3 linked regions of the Neodiprion lecontei genome follow. The protein of the gene in region 1 purifies or fractionates together with the protein of each later gene. This does not show direct contact. Links are inferred from orthologs where the notes say so. Each region holds a gene or a part of one and is shown on either strand. Other genes may lie near its edges.

What was found. The genes of interacting proteins can lie anywhere in the genome.
Region 2: the proteins of ATP-dependent helicase brm (region 1) and protein polybromo-1 purify together in Drosophila melanogaster (affinity purification with western blotting; 3 studies listed by BioGRID, with this or other methods). This does not show direct contact. The link is inferred for Neodiprion lecontei from reciprocal best matches to the Drosophila melanogaster genes brm and polybromo.
Region 3: the proteins of ATP-dependent helicase brm (region 1) and bromodomain-containing protein 4 purify together in Drosophila melanogaster (affinity purification with western blotting; 6 studies listed by BioGRID, with this or other methods). This does not show direct contact. The link is inferred for Neodiprion lecontei from reciprocal best matches to the Drosophila melanogaster genes brm and Bap111.

Annotation. Positions count from the first base shown.
Region 1 is NC_060262.1:27,357,196-27,361,833, forward strand, and holds the start of ATP-dependent helicase brm, read right to left. Parts: upstream 3,027-4,638; 5' UTR 2,879-3,026; intron 1,752-2,878; 5' UTR 1,712-1,751; coding exon 1,460-1,711; exon of another isoform or gene 987-1,459; coding exon of another isoform or gene 838-986; intron 599-837; coding exon of another isoform or gene 447-598; intron 331-446; coding exon of another isoform or gene 225-330; intron 1-224. Other genes in the region: inositol monophosphatase 1, read left to right, coding at 225-330, 447-598, 838-986; NADH dehydrogenase [ubiquinone] 1 beta subcomplex subunit 8, mitochondrial, read left to right, coding at 3,479-3,563, 4,263-4,483. UniProt on the Drosophila melanogaster protein: Transcriptional regulator. Acts as a coactivator, assisting one or more dedicated transcriptional activators of ANTC and BXC homeotic gene clusters. Can counteract the repressive effect of Polycomb protein.
Region 2 is NC_060265.1:21,313,832-21,318,706, reverse strand, and holds the start of protein polybromo-1, read right to left. Parts: upstream 3,045-4,875; 5' UTR 2,930-3,044; intron 2,678-2,929; 5' UTR 2,668-2,677; coding exon 2,563-2,667; intron 2,131-2,562; coding exon 1,885-2,130; intron 1,681-1,884; coding exon 1,552-1,680; intron 1,484-1,551; coding exon 1,304-1,483; intron 1,098-1,303; coding exon 653-1,097; intron 476-652; coding exon 363-475; intron 215-362; coding exon 116-214; intron 49-115; coding exon 1-48. Other genes in the region: uncharacterized protein LOC124295063, read right to left, coding at 4,414-4,875.
Region 3 is NC_060265.1:2,667,190-2,673,438, reverse strand, and holds bromodomain-containing protein 4, read right to left. Parts: upstream 4,673-6,249; 5' UTR 4,533-4,672; exon of another isoform or gene 4,528-4,532; intron 4,169-4,527; exon of another isoform or gene 4,128-4,168; 5' UTR 4,121-4,127; coding exon 4,057-4,120; intron 3,973-4,056; coding exon 3,929-3,972; intron 3,849-3,928; coding exon 3,768-3,848; intron 3,688-3,767; coding exon 3,481-3,687; intron 3,354-3,480; coding exon 3,269-3,353; intron 3,080-3,268; coding exon 2,957-3,079; intron 2,732-2,956; coding exon 2,559-2,731; intron 2,463-2,558; coding exon 2,361-2,462; intron 2,288-2,360; coding exon 2,099-2,287; intron 1,966-2,098; coding exon 922-1,965; 3' UTR 545-921; downstream 1-544.

The DNA.
Region 1 (4,638 bases):
GTTCACGTTACCATCGTTAACCTAGTGAAATATTATCTCACACTAATAAGTAACAATGGCTGATAATTTTAATTGCCAGTGCAAGCCAAGGAGTTGACAAAAAAATAAATATACCACAAAATGTGATACAAGTACCGTCTCTCCTAAATCGAAAGTACAATTAATTGAAATTGAACATTTGTCGAACAAAAATGTCAGAATTGACACAAAATTGGATGTTTCAGACCTTTCGCATGCTCTTGTCGGAATCGAGCCATGGTTAGCCAAAAATGAAGAACATACCTCAAGTTTGTATAGCAGAACACATTTTCTAATTCAGAAGACTCACGGGTTGGTACTAGAAAAAATTCAAGGACTACAAGCTGTATTAATCGAAAGAAACTCTCATAGTTGAACAGTTGCGTGTAAGTATAATTTCGAATGAAACTATCAACAAATTATTTCAGAATTAGATCTCTGGGACTGGCTGCGCTAAGTCTATGCTACGTAGCGATGGGTGCAATCGAAGCATATCACATCGAAGGCATAGACCCATGGGACGTGGCTGCCGGACAATTAATCATCGAAGAGGCTGGAGGGATGGTTGTGGATACTACTGGTAAGATCATATAATTTATGGTGTGTGTAATCGAGGGAAATATTTTTTTTCTTCTCTTCTGTCAACGGAGAATTGATAAGAATGTATACTAATATAAACATTCTAAATATTGAAAACAGAATAATCTATGATGAGGAAGCAGAAAATCAACATTATAGAATTTGACGGATCGTCTACATTCATCTATGTACAGAATTCTTCAAATTAATTTATGGACTTGAAATGGATTCTTTTTTCAGGTGGAGTTTTAGATTTGATGAACCCAAAAGTGATTGCAGCTTGTAACCGTGAAATAGCTGAACAAATTGTCAATCTATTCAAGAAAACAGACAGCATCGGTCAGGAAAAAATATCTGACTTCTTGTTGCAGATAAGTTCAGATCTTTAACAAACTTCCCTTTATATCTTGTACTGTGTAATTCCAAACTTCTGTAACTATTCATCTTAAAACTTCCAATATCAAGTTCAGCACAGCGATTTATGACAATTAGCAGTGTCAAATAAGCAAATAACGGAAAGAAGAGAATAGAAAAATCGTCGTATATATGTCCAAGTTCTTCACTTGTTCTTCATTCTCTTCGTTTAATTGATCTTTTGAATTATAACTACTAAATTTAAACTCTTCACGCAATGAGCATTTCAATTCCCTTGAACCGTCTACAAAATAAATTTGTTCCAAGAAGCATTTCACTAGATTTTCATATCAATACAAGCTAACATATAATTTGATTACTCCACGTTCAACTTATCTTTAAGAACCGAATCCGGCGAGGAGAAATAGCATACAATGATTAACACATCCCATTGTGAATTCTGAAGACTTTAGCTTCATTCGATGATTTGAATTTAAAAACATCTCACCTGAGGTCCCATATTTGGTGGCATTTGCTGCGGGTGTGGAGGATACCCTTGTTGCTGTGGGGGAGGCTGCTGTTGCTGCGGCATTGGTGGACCGCCCTGATATCCTTGAGTTGGACTATGAGGATGATGTTGTGGAGGACCCATTGGACTGCCTTGAGGATTGGACGGGGATGGAGCTTGTTGGGGAGGGCCCATTGGACTTGGTGCTTGTGGGGGTGGCATGGGAGACGATTGGGGCGAGGGGCTCGCCATGCTGTTTCTATCAGACTCCAGCTTATTCAGTACTGGGACTCTGAAAAATAAATCTCATTACCAATGAAACCAAAGTTAGACAAACATTAGGATATAAATTCGAAGTTCCTTTTATGGAAGACTCGGACAGGAATTTAATTTTTAATAAGGTTTGCGTAAGAATGCAGAAAAAATATTTTGGAAACGATAATGTTTTTTTCGGTTGACTCTCTCAGCATCCCTGATTTTTCCAAGTCCATTCCGTTCAACAAAAGTAGAATCATTAACAACTGTAATACTGCTTATATTCCAAAGATTAACAGAATTGCTTTTCAGAAATATTTCCATTAGAATGAACCCGTGGTTTTCAACATGAACGAATCACAAGATGTTTCAGTCACGATTGCATAGCTTCCTAGATCAAAATACATGGGAAAGACACAAAGTTTATTTTATGAAGAATTTATGCTTCGCGTTAGTGCACAAACAACCAAGGTGACGTTGCATCACAGAATAATGGCAACTGATACATCGACTGCATATCTGGGTGTGCGAGGTAAGTTTCTTACAATTGTGATTTTGAGCATAGTGCCTATTTCATTGATGGTTTAAAGTGGTATTTATTTAATTAGTCAAAGATTATCGAAATTTTCTGGCTTAAACTGATAATTCTTTTGTCAGGATTATGATCACGAGTACGAGAACCCGTCAAATGTAACCTCATTTCACATTTACAAGTTAACAACAAAGCTGATGACAAAAAGTCTGCATATTTAATAGCAAAAAAAGAAGACACAAAATGACGTAATTCATAATACCTAAGAAAATTGAGAGAGTTAAAAAAAAAAACTATCAAAAATACGACAGTGGTTCGTAAGGCAGGGTGAGGCGAAAAACTTGGATTGATGGAACACAATTATGTGTGTGTGACACCAAACTCACGGCTTCGTCGTCAAATATTACTCAACACTCTGTGTACGTCTCAGATAATGTACGCTTTACGGAAAACTTGGTACCTCAATTATATTATTCAATGAGTTAGTTTCAAATCGTGACGATTTCAACTAGAATTTCATCGTCAACAAAGTTGAAGCACAAACACACTCGAGCGAATCGGAGTCCCTTTTGGCCATTACGCAAAAACGTAAGACATACATTCATGAATATGTCTGTAAAGACGACTCGTACCTTTTTAACTCTTAGCTCGGGCTTCCGCCGAACATACGACGAATAGTTTCCACTACGTTCATGCAGTAAACTTGTAATATTTCAACCTAAATAGGAGAAAGCAATCTTGACCGCGACTACACGACAAATCCCACCGAATAACACAAGCCGCCGGCCATCTTTCTTTCCCGCATTCTCGCTCGTTCAGACGCTAGTGGCGCTGCTATCGCCAATCGTATGCTGAATGTTTATACATAAAAACAGCGGTGCGAATCCATCTTCAGGCCATCTTTACCATACGAACCCAATCGATGTTTTACCCATTTTATGGCTCAAATCGCTATATATGGGTATAAAAAGCGTTGAGAAATGTCGTTTTTAAAAATGAAAAAAGCAAGAGATAGCGGACATTTGATTCAACTCTGGCTTTAGATTGTCTTTTGTGTTGATCTTGTTTGGTTACTGTTACATATCAGTGAGTTCAGTCAACGCTTACGATAGTCTATGGCTTTAGTCCATGGCTAGAACGCGTTCAACGCCGCGCCTCCGTAGAGCCCGTAGCCACAGAGACGGAGTTTCTATAGTTGGTGGTCAGAGCCGGAAAGGCCTGAGTTATCAAAAATGTCTTCTCTCGCGAAGTTCTGTAAAATTTCGACCCGATTATGGCCACAAAACGGTGTCTACACGTATAATATAGCGAAATACAGTAAGTGTAAACAGAACACCATAAAAATATATTTGTGTGAAATATTTCGTGAGTGCGAATGAAGTTACTGGAGTAAACGCACACCGTAGAGGTTATGTCCATCAATTACATAATTTATTACTTTGCATTACAGATTTTAACGAAAATTAATGTGTAGCTTACTTTTCCTGCTCCTCGATATTACGATACATATCTTTTTTGATATCTTCAACTTTCTCACGGGCAGCTTAACTCCATATGAACAGCTAATACATATTTATGTCATCAAAATGCCAGAATGTATGTTTCAAAACAGATGCAATGAGATTTCATTACTGTACCTGCTTTAAATGGCCTGATAAATAATTTCATTAAATTGTTTCATGCATATTAGGTAATGAACTGAAAGCTAACTGTTACGAATTAACAAAACATTCTTTTAAACGTGTTATGAATATTTGATTTCGTTGGATGACGGTTAGGGTTGGAATGATGCACATTAAGCAATCAATTTTATCTTCTGTACGACGTTTCGGCAGGCCCAGCCGACCATCATCAGGACCTGCCAAAATGTACGGAAAATAAAATTCATTGCTTATTGACCATCATTCCAACCCTGACCGTCGTCCAACGAAATCAAATATTTATAATATCTATACGGTCACAAAGTTCAACTCATTTAAACGTATTATAAATTATGATAAAATCTTTTCTGTTCAGGTATGATCAGGGACTATAAACCAGCCCAATATCCAACAACAGAAGAAGAAAGAGCTAAAGCAGCAGAGAAATATAACCTAATAAAAGAAGATTATAAACCAATTCCAGATGATGGAAATGGTTTAGGAGATTATCCAGAACTTCCTATGGTCTCGGCTGAAGCCAAGGATGATTATTACCCTTGGGATTTCCCAGAACATAAAAGAAATTTCAACGAACCTGTTAGTACAATTCATTTCATTCCGAGTTTTCTTATACTTTCTCAAAACAAACGCATGTTGCCTTATTAGGGTATCAATGCTATTTGAAACACTTGAATTTAAAAGCAAATCTTCAGGATGCAACAGTAAGAGAATCAAACTCCTGATGAATATCA
Region 2 (4,875 bases), on another chromosome or scaffold:
AAGTTCCTGTACCTTCTCTTGCATAATTTTCTGTAACTTGGCGGCACACTATGAAAACATATAATTTTATTTCCTGCTTATTTCAATCAAATAGATTTCTGCAATGCAAATTTACCTTATACAAACGAGACGTATGGACGTTATACTTTTTAGCATTTTCAAACATGATATTCATATCACCTGCAACCTCACTGACAGTGCCATATTCCCCCTTCTATGAAAGAAATCCATATATGTATGTAAGTTGAACAAACTAATATGTGTCAGCTCATTTATTGATGTTTTTGCATATCAAATCGTCAGTCGATACATGCATTGGAATTGTAAGAAATGTTCCTTTTACATGGGTTTTTGTATCTCACCTTTATTTTAGTCCGTATTTGATATAGTGATATTGGATTTTTTATTGCTTTGTAATAATCAGGATATAATCGTTTAGATGGTAATTTCCAATAGTATTCACTCATCCGGACGCCTGTAGATCCAAAATAAAATATTGTCTAATTCACCACTTTCACTCATATAAATGAATATCACATACATAAATAAGTTAATTTACTAGCAAAAGATTTTCAATCAAGAAACCTATATTCACAACTCGAGGTTAATTGTTGAAGATATTCTACCTTTATTGAAACAAAACGAAACACACCTTGACTGTTTGGGGCAGTTTTTATGGTCTGAAATAACTGCCACTGTGGATTGTCAGACTCTTCTCCGTCATTAGCTTCCTCCTCTTCGTCATCACTTTCATCTTCATCTTCATCTGCAAGTGCAGCAGTCACTGCTACAAGGGACTGGCCAGCACTTCTTCCTCTTTTACTTCTAGTAGAAGTTGCAGTAGAAGTGAGCTTCGGTACCATACCAGTAGCGCTAGATTCCTGTTTTTTAGCTGCAGAAACGATTATCTTTTTCAACATTTTAGCATCCTTGTATATTTGAGAACCTGGTTCATTAAACTGACAAGCATTGCGACACATGAGCATGAGATCTCTTTCCATTTCAATCAGTCCAGCATACGCTCCTTCTTGAATCCGGCGTGCGATTGTCTTCAAATCCACTGGATTCTCAATTATCTCATAATACTCAGGGTACAGCTGCAAATTAAATTTCACACTATTCAATTTCAGGTAATTTGTGAAGCAGTAAAATGTGTATTTCTATTGCAATTTTCCTGGCGCGTAATGGAACATCACAATTCTCATATTGCAACCACATTCGTTGACTATACAAGAAAATGAAAAATTCAAATAGACATAAAATTTGTAACAACAAAATTGGATTGTTCAGTGAAAATACAAACTTTCTTGGAAGGTTTCAATTGAAATGGAATATGTAGTGGTCTGTTATTGTCTTGTGGATTTGTTGCAGCCATGACCGCAGCAAACAAATCCTCGTATGGTTGCATAGACTCTTCATCAGGGTTGGTAGAGCTTTCAGAAGTGTCCTCAGCGTCATCCTGACGAGTTGTTACTTTCCGTGCCTGATAAAGGACATATTAATATTAAGCTTCTTGTATATATAACTCACGTGTTTTTTGCATTATCTTACCAGTCTGCCAACCTTAAGAATTATTTTCCCCTTTGGTTCAGAATCCTCATATTCTTCCATTATCCGATTTTTAGTATTCAGACATAATTCCCACAATTCCGTTGCATCTTTGTACTCTGGAGAAGTCCGCTAGACAAAATGTCAAAAGTTACCGCATTATTATATGTATATCAATAAACAGGATAAACTGTAACTATGAGCAGTTTTACCTTACGGGCAATCAAAATGTAAATCGATTGCTTAGCTCTAGGTAATAAATCAATCTTTGTTCTAATTCATTGCTTTTAACCATCAAATTCAATTACGAGTTGTTGATTTGGAAAAAATACATACCATGTAAAAAGCTTTAGCGTTATTAACCATAAGTTGAATGTCAGCTGCCAAATCATCCATATCTCGATATTCATCGGTTTTGAGCTTTTGCTGAACTTTCAACAAATCAATTGGATTTGTAACAACTTCGTAATAACCAGGTTCCTGTCTGCGTTTTGGTACGCGAATAAAAGCATCACACAACAGTGTTCCATCTTCTCTTTTTTGATTACGAAGAACATCATAGAGCTGCTGGCAAAGATCACTCTGCAATGATAAATCTCTAATTGAAATTTGGCTAATCCAACCTATAATACAACGGCATCGCATATTCAAACTGGAATCCAACTTTACAAGAAGCAAGATATTAATGGAAAGTGTTGAATGAATACAGCTAAATTCGATGATATAATTACTATAAAGGGAAGCAATATTTCTACCAAGTTGCAAGTATGTCTGTGTGAAAGTTTCACAAAGATATTTCTGTCATTTCATTTGTCTTTCGCAGATGGATCAACTTGCATTTACAAGGTCTCCGAATTTGAAATTATTTTAAGTATATCTTCAGAGCCATATCTACAACAATCTGCCGACCATTGTAATTTTTTTCCCATTCTATTATATTAGTATGAATTGAATCAATAAGTTATTGTTTATAGATTGCGTCCGTAATATCAGAAAATGACAGGGCAATGTTACCGGATCTAATTTTCGTCGTCGTTTCGTTGGTTCCGGTTGTACGTCGTCGGGATCATCCTCAGTACCACGACTTGCAACGGACGAAGTTCGACGGCGTTTATTCATCGTTGTGAGCCTGAAAATCGTAAAGAAATATTGTTTATTTTTACGCCGCATGACGCCATGTTAAATACAGTAGACCATGTACACTATGCATCTTACATTAGATGCAGGAATGTGATCCAAAGCTAGTCGAATTAATGGATTAAAAAAATAACAAAATCAAGCTGAATTTATCGCTCTACACTTACCGGATCCTGAAGTATTGATTTATAACTTAATTGCATGTGGAAGTAAATCTAATGCAACTTTAAGTAACGTTACTTGCCTGAGTTTACAAGGTATACAAATAGAGAGGTGACCACCATGCCTGCCGCAATATCTACTTCCTGATCAGAATCAAGATTTCCTATCCAAGCTCACATCCACGGGATAGATTTGTCGAGCTGCTAGAGACGTGAGAGGAAACCCACTGAAATATTTATAATACATTTCAGTAGTAAAACCGAGGTAGCGGCCATATTACGTTGTGTGCTACATCACGAAAGTTGCGGCCAGACTGTATGAAACTGAATAGAACCACCGTAACGGGAATTCGTAGATTAAAAAAATTGAATAACAAGTTACTGGTATCATTGAATAACCAAGCTAATAACTACATCATTTCACTATTTCCACGTCCGTGGTTCTGATTCTGGGTTTCTGTAGAGTCTAGCCAGTGATGTGGGCCAGTGCTTCGTTAACTAACTAGTGTTGAAAATTGGACAAAAATAACAAGTGTAAAGTTTCGCGCCAACATGCAGTTGAATTACATATGATGACAGCTTTCAGTTCTGAAATTATAAATTCCTGAATTCCACTAAAAGATTGATTGTTTATTCATTTTCAATTGAGTATCAAAATAAGTTGATGCCAAGTAAATTCAATGAGATGTATGTACGTACCATTAAAATTTCAACTTTTATTTGTATAATTCAATACCATTAGCTGAGATTCTAAAAATTTGTGGATACATTAATTTCAAGTTGTAGATTAATGTTTTTACAAATAGGTGTCTGTTTCAATTTACAGCTGTATTAAGTGTCATGATGAAGGATGGTGATTGAAAAAATATTCAGTCACTCAGAAAAAATTCCAGAGTGTAATTTGTGCATTTATTTGAGCTCTTCAACTTTTCAATTGCAACTGAGTTAAGACTACACTCATGTATAGGTGATACTCGAGAATATCGATATGATACGGATTTTATTCATTATTATGAGTATACATAACAATTTCTCTAAACGCAAATTATACTCCTTGCATAGTTACATTTATACAATTTTCATGCATGTCATATACATACAACTAAACTAATTTAACGGTCAATTATTGCACGTAAAAAATACTCATGGCCTTCTAATTGGTTCATATTTAGCTAACAAACGTGTTGAATAAAATTAAAAAGTACAATGCCATAATTATGGAATTGATAATATTACAAAGTCCAACGTTCAAACCGTAAAAGACTTTTCAGTTGCAGTTTTAAATCAAGTGATTATAGAATAATTAGACTGTGTAATTTCATAACTGTCACAGTTTTGAACACTTTGAGGTCACAGAACGTAATTAAATAATTAAAATATAGTGTAATTTTGAAATTAGAATTACATTAGTTACTCTTCAGTGGTAATTCAGTCTCTAAAACATCTTGATCTCGGATTATCCCTCTGGATAAAATCTTTTACTGTTTACAATCAGGCTTTTTTTACCAACATTTCTGGGGTTTAGCTCTCATTGTATCCCAAATAATTTCGCAAACTCAACTTGTCTTTAAGTTTTAGAAATTCCTTTAACAATAATGCTTATGCCAGGAAGGGAGAAAAGTTTTCTCAAATTATTGTAACCCCTCGGACCAGTTGCCTTAAGTATATCCCTAGCCATAACTATATCTGTTTTAGTAAACCTTGGTTTTTTAGACGTCTTGTTAGAATTCCTCAATTGTGTTTCTATAAATCGCTTTTGAATAGTCGATAGATTACTGATACCAAGATATTCTCTTTGCTCGATAGCGGCCAATGTTTGATATCTATTCTTCTGAAATCGAAAAAGCTTTTTCTTTAGGTTGTGGATATAGGACAACATTTCTGTTTCTCTGGACGTAACGTTATGTTGATTAATTCGAAATTGTTTACACAGATTTTCATAATCGGCATACTTTTGTTCAAATCGTATGTCGTCTTTACTACTCTTTTCAGTCAAACCATCAATAACAGGATTATGTTCCTTTGTGCC
Region 3 (6,249 bases), on another chromosome or scaffold:
TGAAATGGGTTTTTCAGTTTTTCTCACTATTTTCAAATTTTAACTATTTCGTACGGTGTTATTGTGAATTTTCAACAATATCCTAGTCTTTAGACTAATAAAATGATCACACTTGCACATAAAAAGTTAAGACTATCAAGTCAATAATGTGATCAGAGTTGAGCCTGGAATAAAGTTTTACATGCAACAGAAATACAAGTCGATTATTCCTTCAGGTGATTACTGCCCTCGTTTCGCTCAGGTAGCAAACCCACCCGCAGGAATAATCTTTGACTTTATTGTTGCATAATATACTATTCTTGTCTCTTTCTACAAGGAAAAAATAATAGAATTATCAAATTATTTCGATTAATCTCCTGTGACTGGTATTGAATATACTACTACGCATTCAGCCGTTTTTTTAACATGTCAATAAACTTGATATCACTGTAGCTGGATACTAAGAATGTATTACATTTATACTCACGAGTTATGCAAATTGATGTGTTGCAACGTTTTCTGTACAGTCGCTTAAATTACTGCATCCGAAATGATAAAATGAATGTCCAGTTTTATAGAGTAAGCTTTATTTCTATTACCATATTGATCAGTTCCAATGATAATCAGCAATTGTTAAGAAATCGTTCTAAACACTCTACGAAAAGATCAGCTAGGTCATACGTGTTTTTAAAAGCATTACCTAGTCTTCCATTATGGTGTGAATGATGATGAAATACTAGATTACTTCAACCTATATTAATCAGTGTGTAGCCAACATTGTATAACCATAAATCAGAATAACCTAGTATAATGACAAAAATGGGACATGAATACTTACAGTTATAGGTTTTTCGAAACTAAACACCACTCCAATACAATTATTAATAAAAAGGTTGTTTTGTTTGAAAATAGCTTACAAACTAAATTCAACACTTCGTGGATTTATCCTGATCCAGATGTATCCATTTTTTGATTGTCCGCCTGGTTTTCGGGAGGTCGATCTCTGTCGCCGTGAATAGGTGTCGAAGCATACGAAGCTCCTGAATCAGAGCCAACATTAGAACCTGAATTTCCATCTCCCACATTGTGCGGTGATTGAGGATGATAATGAGGACTATGAGGGCTGTGTGGGCCGTGAGAGTGCGGTCTACCCATAGAATGGGGAGCATACTGGGAATAAGATTGATAATAGGGATGAGCATATTGAGGATAAGGTTGATGATACGGCTGCTGTTGAGAATACGCATAAGAAGGATGTGGCGGTCTTGGAGCCAACGGAACATTTTGCGCTTGTTGACCTCCGGCCGGTTGATACTGCTGATTGTAACTCTGACCGGTGGGTATCATTGAGTTCACGTGAGGGTTTGGTGGCATTGCATTTTGGGAAGGCATTGTTTGGGGCGGCATGTTTTGATTGTGCGGAGGTGTCGCTTGAGAGGGTAGAGTGTGATTCTGATGGGGAGGAATCGAATGATTGGGAAGAACGTTTTGTTGATGGGGGGTATGCGATGGAGGAGGTTGAGGTTGCTGTTGCTGTTGCTGTTGCTGTTGCTGTTGCTGAGGTTGAGTTTGAGGTTGCGGCTGAGGTGGTGGTGGTGGTAGTTGCTGCTGCTGCTGCTGTTGTTGCTGCTGCTGTTGCTGCTGCTGTTGTTGCTGTTGCTGCTGCTGCTGTTGTTGTTGTTGTTGGTGATGTTGCTGTTGTAGTAGCAGTGGTGGAGGCTGTGCTGGTACAAGTACAGGAGCAATGGCTGGTGGAGTAGAAGGCTGGGGTGGGGGTACGCTTGTAGCGGTAGTAACGGTTGTTTGCTGGATGGGGCTCACTGCTCCCGGATATGTCACAGGTGAAGACCTCTGCGGAGAGTGATTATTTGTTTGCATTGTTGTTTCAGTTTTTACTTCTGTGTATGGCGGTGAAAGTGTCTCCTTTTTCGTTTCGATAGGCTGATCCACATCCATTTTCTTTTCTGATGGTTCGCTGTCTGTAATCTATAGAAATATACACACGTCAATTGATTATAAGCTTCGAATGTGAGAATGTCTTTGTTCTCCGTTCATCTAATAATCTGCTCTTACTCAGAATCCATTTTTACATAGTATATTTATAACAAATTATTAATACCTCAGGTTGTGATTCTTCGCTAACTGGGGCCGGAGTTGGAGTTGGAGTGGAATTCGGTGTTGATTCGCTTGAAGCCGGGCCATCAGATCGATTTTCTTCGGTACCTTTTTGTCTGTCTCTTCGTAATAACTCGTATTGACGCTCAACCATTTTATTGAATGCATCTTCGTCTACTGCAGGCTTACAATGCTGATGGGATAAAACGTATATCAGCAACAATTTATTATTATGCTAAAATTGTAAACTACAAGTTTTTACTTACTTTCTTTAATTCATCTTGAAACACTTCGCTAGCTTCAACGAATTTACGTTTTTTTGCGTCAAACTTTTCTTCAATCTGCTGCAGCTCAGCTTCTAATTTTTTCTGCAGAAGTATTTTATTATATTTATAAGTTAAAGCAATTCTTGCTTTACAATAGAAGACATATTTATTTTACTAACAACGTGTGGTTTAGACTACCTGATGCATTGTGAGTGACTGTACTTGGCGTCGAAGAACTTGCATTCTTTGAGTAGTAACTACAGAACGCACATCTGGTACAACGGTGTCGCTAAAGATCTCATTTATCAGTCTGTGATTGCGGGCGAATCGAGAATATGCAACGTGTTTGACTGAATATCCATCGTCTTGATCTAGGGATAAATAGAAATAGAACATAACTCGGTGCTCAACGACGTTTGCTAAGTTTGTACAGATCCAGTCAACTTTATACGATTAGTCTTTCAAAACCTAACACAGATTAGGAAATCCCAATTGCGCTTACCTCTTATTTCGGGATAGCAAATTATGAACTTCTTAGGCCAAAACTTACAGTTTAACAAAAGAAGAAATGGATAGTTAATGGATAAATTGTATACCATCATCATCTTCCGCCGGTTGAATGTCTATCCGTCGGTCTTGGGCTGCCTGACTTTTACTGCTTCCAGAGGAACGCTCATGAGTTTCTCGATCATCGCTATTTTGCTGAGCTGCACATAACACTGCATTAGACACAAGTTTGTAAACATCCTACACTCAGTGTTTGGATATGCACAAGCTGACAAAACACATCTAAATATACCAGATCATTTTCTTATCTGACACAGAAAAGTGCAGTTAGAGCTATATATGTCTTGTTATACAATAATGCAACGAATATCAGATAGAGTAAAAAATTAGCTGAAACCTACCAGATTTTCCCCTATTCTTTGCAGCGATATACGCAAGGTATGCAGGCGAATTATGGTAAGTTTTTAAGCTCTTCTCATATTCGACCTGAAACCAAACATTACTAGTTGTTTAGAATTTTCAAAGAGAGAAACATTTGAAAACTTCAGATGTAGCTGTAGTGGGTAGCAATGAGGAAGAAGGGTTTTCGATATTTGAAATTCAGTATACTCACCTTTTCTGCTTCATATTCTTCGATGAATTCAGTTTTCTCATCTTCCGGTAGGTCTCTCCACATCTGCCCGATGATTTTTCCTATTTCCCATAGTTTTAACTCGGGATTTTGAGCTTTCACTTGGTCCCAGACTTTTCTGCTGTATCTCATGTATGGCATCAATGGTTTCTCTGGAGGCTTGGGTGGTTTTGGCAACCTAGAATCCGCCTGAAACATATAGCATAATTGTGGATCCTGTAAGCAGCCAACGGCAGAACAACATTTTATGTAAATAAACGCATGTCTACCGGTGTGCTTTTTCCAACTTTCTGTGGGGTAAATCCAGGATGTCCATGAGGTGTTTGAATGAAAGGGGTCTGCGCATCTTTCTGCAAATAATGTCATGATTAAATTTCTGGATCAGAGATGTTTGACTGATGCGTATGAGAAAGATTGCTTGATAACATACCCCTGTACTAGAACTACCACTGGCACCGGAAGCCCGTAATCGTTCTGTTAAAAATATCCAACAGTTATAATTTCAGCATTCAATTTTGTCTATGCGCATGATGTTCACTTTAGGTTTATTATACATACGATTGCTAGAAACAACATTTGACGACGCCATCGCCACTTGTTTGTAATTCTGCGGTAACGCCATCCTTTACCTGTACATTTGAAAATTAATGAATGAATCGTTGAAAGACGGTATTCTTGAAAACAATTAACTTGGGTTTGTCGAAAAATTAATTTTTTCACAATCTACTGCAATCAAAGATTTGTGATAATATATGAAATCGTGGGAAAATATCAGAAGCTCCAGTTTCTGAGTAAATATCATTTCCGCCGCTTGCAAAATAGTTAACAGAAGGTTACAACTCCGTTCGAATTGTCTGTAAATTAATCCAATCGAGTTCCTGGAAATCCGACTTTGGGAAATGAACATTATGTATGAAAACTGTGCTAAGCTGTTGCTGGCAATGAGCTAAATTCCGTACACGTAAGCCTCTGCTGTCCAATTCGAAGGAAAGGAAAAATCGAATAAAGCATTACGAATAAATGAAAGTACTTACTTTGTAAGTAAGAAACCACCGTCAATCGTTTCAGGAGTAAAACCTCATACTGAATCAAAGTTAGAGAGTAACGAAAATTTACAATTCACGGTACAAAACGCCGAAGCGTCGGGCGAGGTTTCAGAATTTCATAGATTGCTCGTACATGCCCACATTAAAAAAGCATAGTTGTCAGCACGCATCTCGTAGATGGCGTCTAGCTTTTGAACTTACAAAAATCATCAAGAGATGGCGGATCACGCTTACAACATGATCGGTGTGACGTTGGCAACGGACCGGAGTCTCATCTGCTTTTAATGCCGATCGGGTCTACTTTTAGGACTTTAGTCGACAATACTCATGTAAGTATTTGTTTTTATTGATTATCTTTGTTATATATTAACATAAAACCTGAGTTAATATAATTGAACTTTGGTGAATAGCGTTATTCGAGTTTTAGGTCAACGGTTTTTTGTCCAAGTCCGCGACGTTAGAATAAACAATTGATAGACGATCGGGAAGCCATGTTGTTGATCAGTTCCAAGTCCGAATTCTTTCTCGCGCTGTAAAGAATAAAGTTTTGACGGTAAGTTTGTTAGTTTTGAATTAAAAATATTAACAAATTTGTGATACATTTGTGATACTGTCCGCAGTGGTATTTACGTAGTGTATTATCCAAACGGTATAAAAAATAAACGAGTCTATTCCGCCCTCAAAATGAAAAAAAATTTCCAGTTTGATTTTCGTTTCGTGTATCTGCAAACGTAGAGTTCAGATGTTTACAGGTGAAAAGTGATCGTTTATAGTTAGGATATCCTCGGACTCGAGTGCGCGTAGTGAAAACGAATTGTTCAATTCTCCCGAAGAAAAGATGAACGTACATCGAACTGTTCTTTCTTCATTACATGGACATCCAGGTATAATATGAACATTTGCACATACATATATACTTCTGTTCGAAAATATGATATACTGCATTTGTCATCTGTGTACACGTATGAACGTAATTTATTTGCTATCTTCTCATTCAAGCTTGAGCTTCACGTGCGCAAGCTTTGCCATACACCTAATTATTATTTATTCATATCATTGTTGGTATGCATATGCTCCAAGTTGGTAAGCAACGTAAAGAGATATGATTTCTCAATTCAGCAACGTTGTAATAATTTTTCCGGATTTAAATTACACGCTGGAAACGGTGTCGTCGGGTTATTTTACTCGCATGCGGAACGCAAATCCGAAGATTGGTAACGTGTTACGGAACACGTGCCAGATTGGGTTTTAGTGTCAACAAGCCGCAATATTTGAAATCAGATCGGCTTGAAAACATGTGATTGCTGTGTTTACTGTGGGATCAAAATTGCGAAGATTAATAATAATTTGATTGTCTTCATTGAAACTTACTTCCACGATAGTAACCAGACCACTGCAGGCAAGTATTACTTTCAGGTGTTTATTTATTATCATCATCATCATTATCAGTTATAATCGCGAATGCTATTTTTAACACTCGTTGACTTTCATTTAGAGGTTATGATGCCGCATCCGAGAAATAGTTTTTCCTGGGATGACTGAGAATATTAACTTTTTATTCGCCCATTTTTTTACTGAATATATTTCGATCCTAGCTACTCATATTCTCGCACTAGTCACTCCATTGAGGTTATGCTGGTCCTACAAGAATCACTAAAAAATACATAAGATATTGGCAGGTTTCATTATTTTGAGCCTCCCTCGG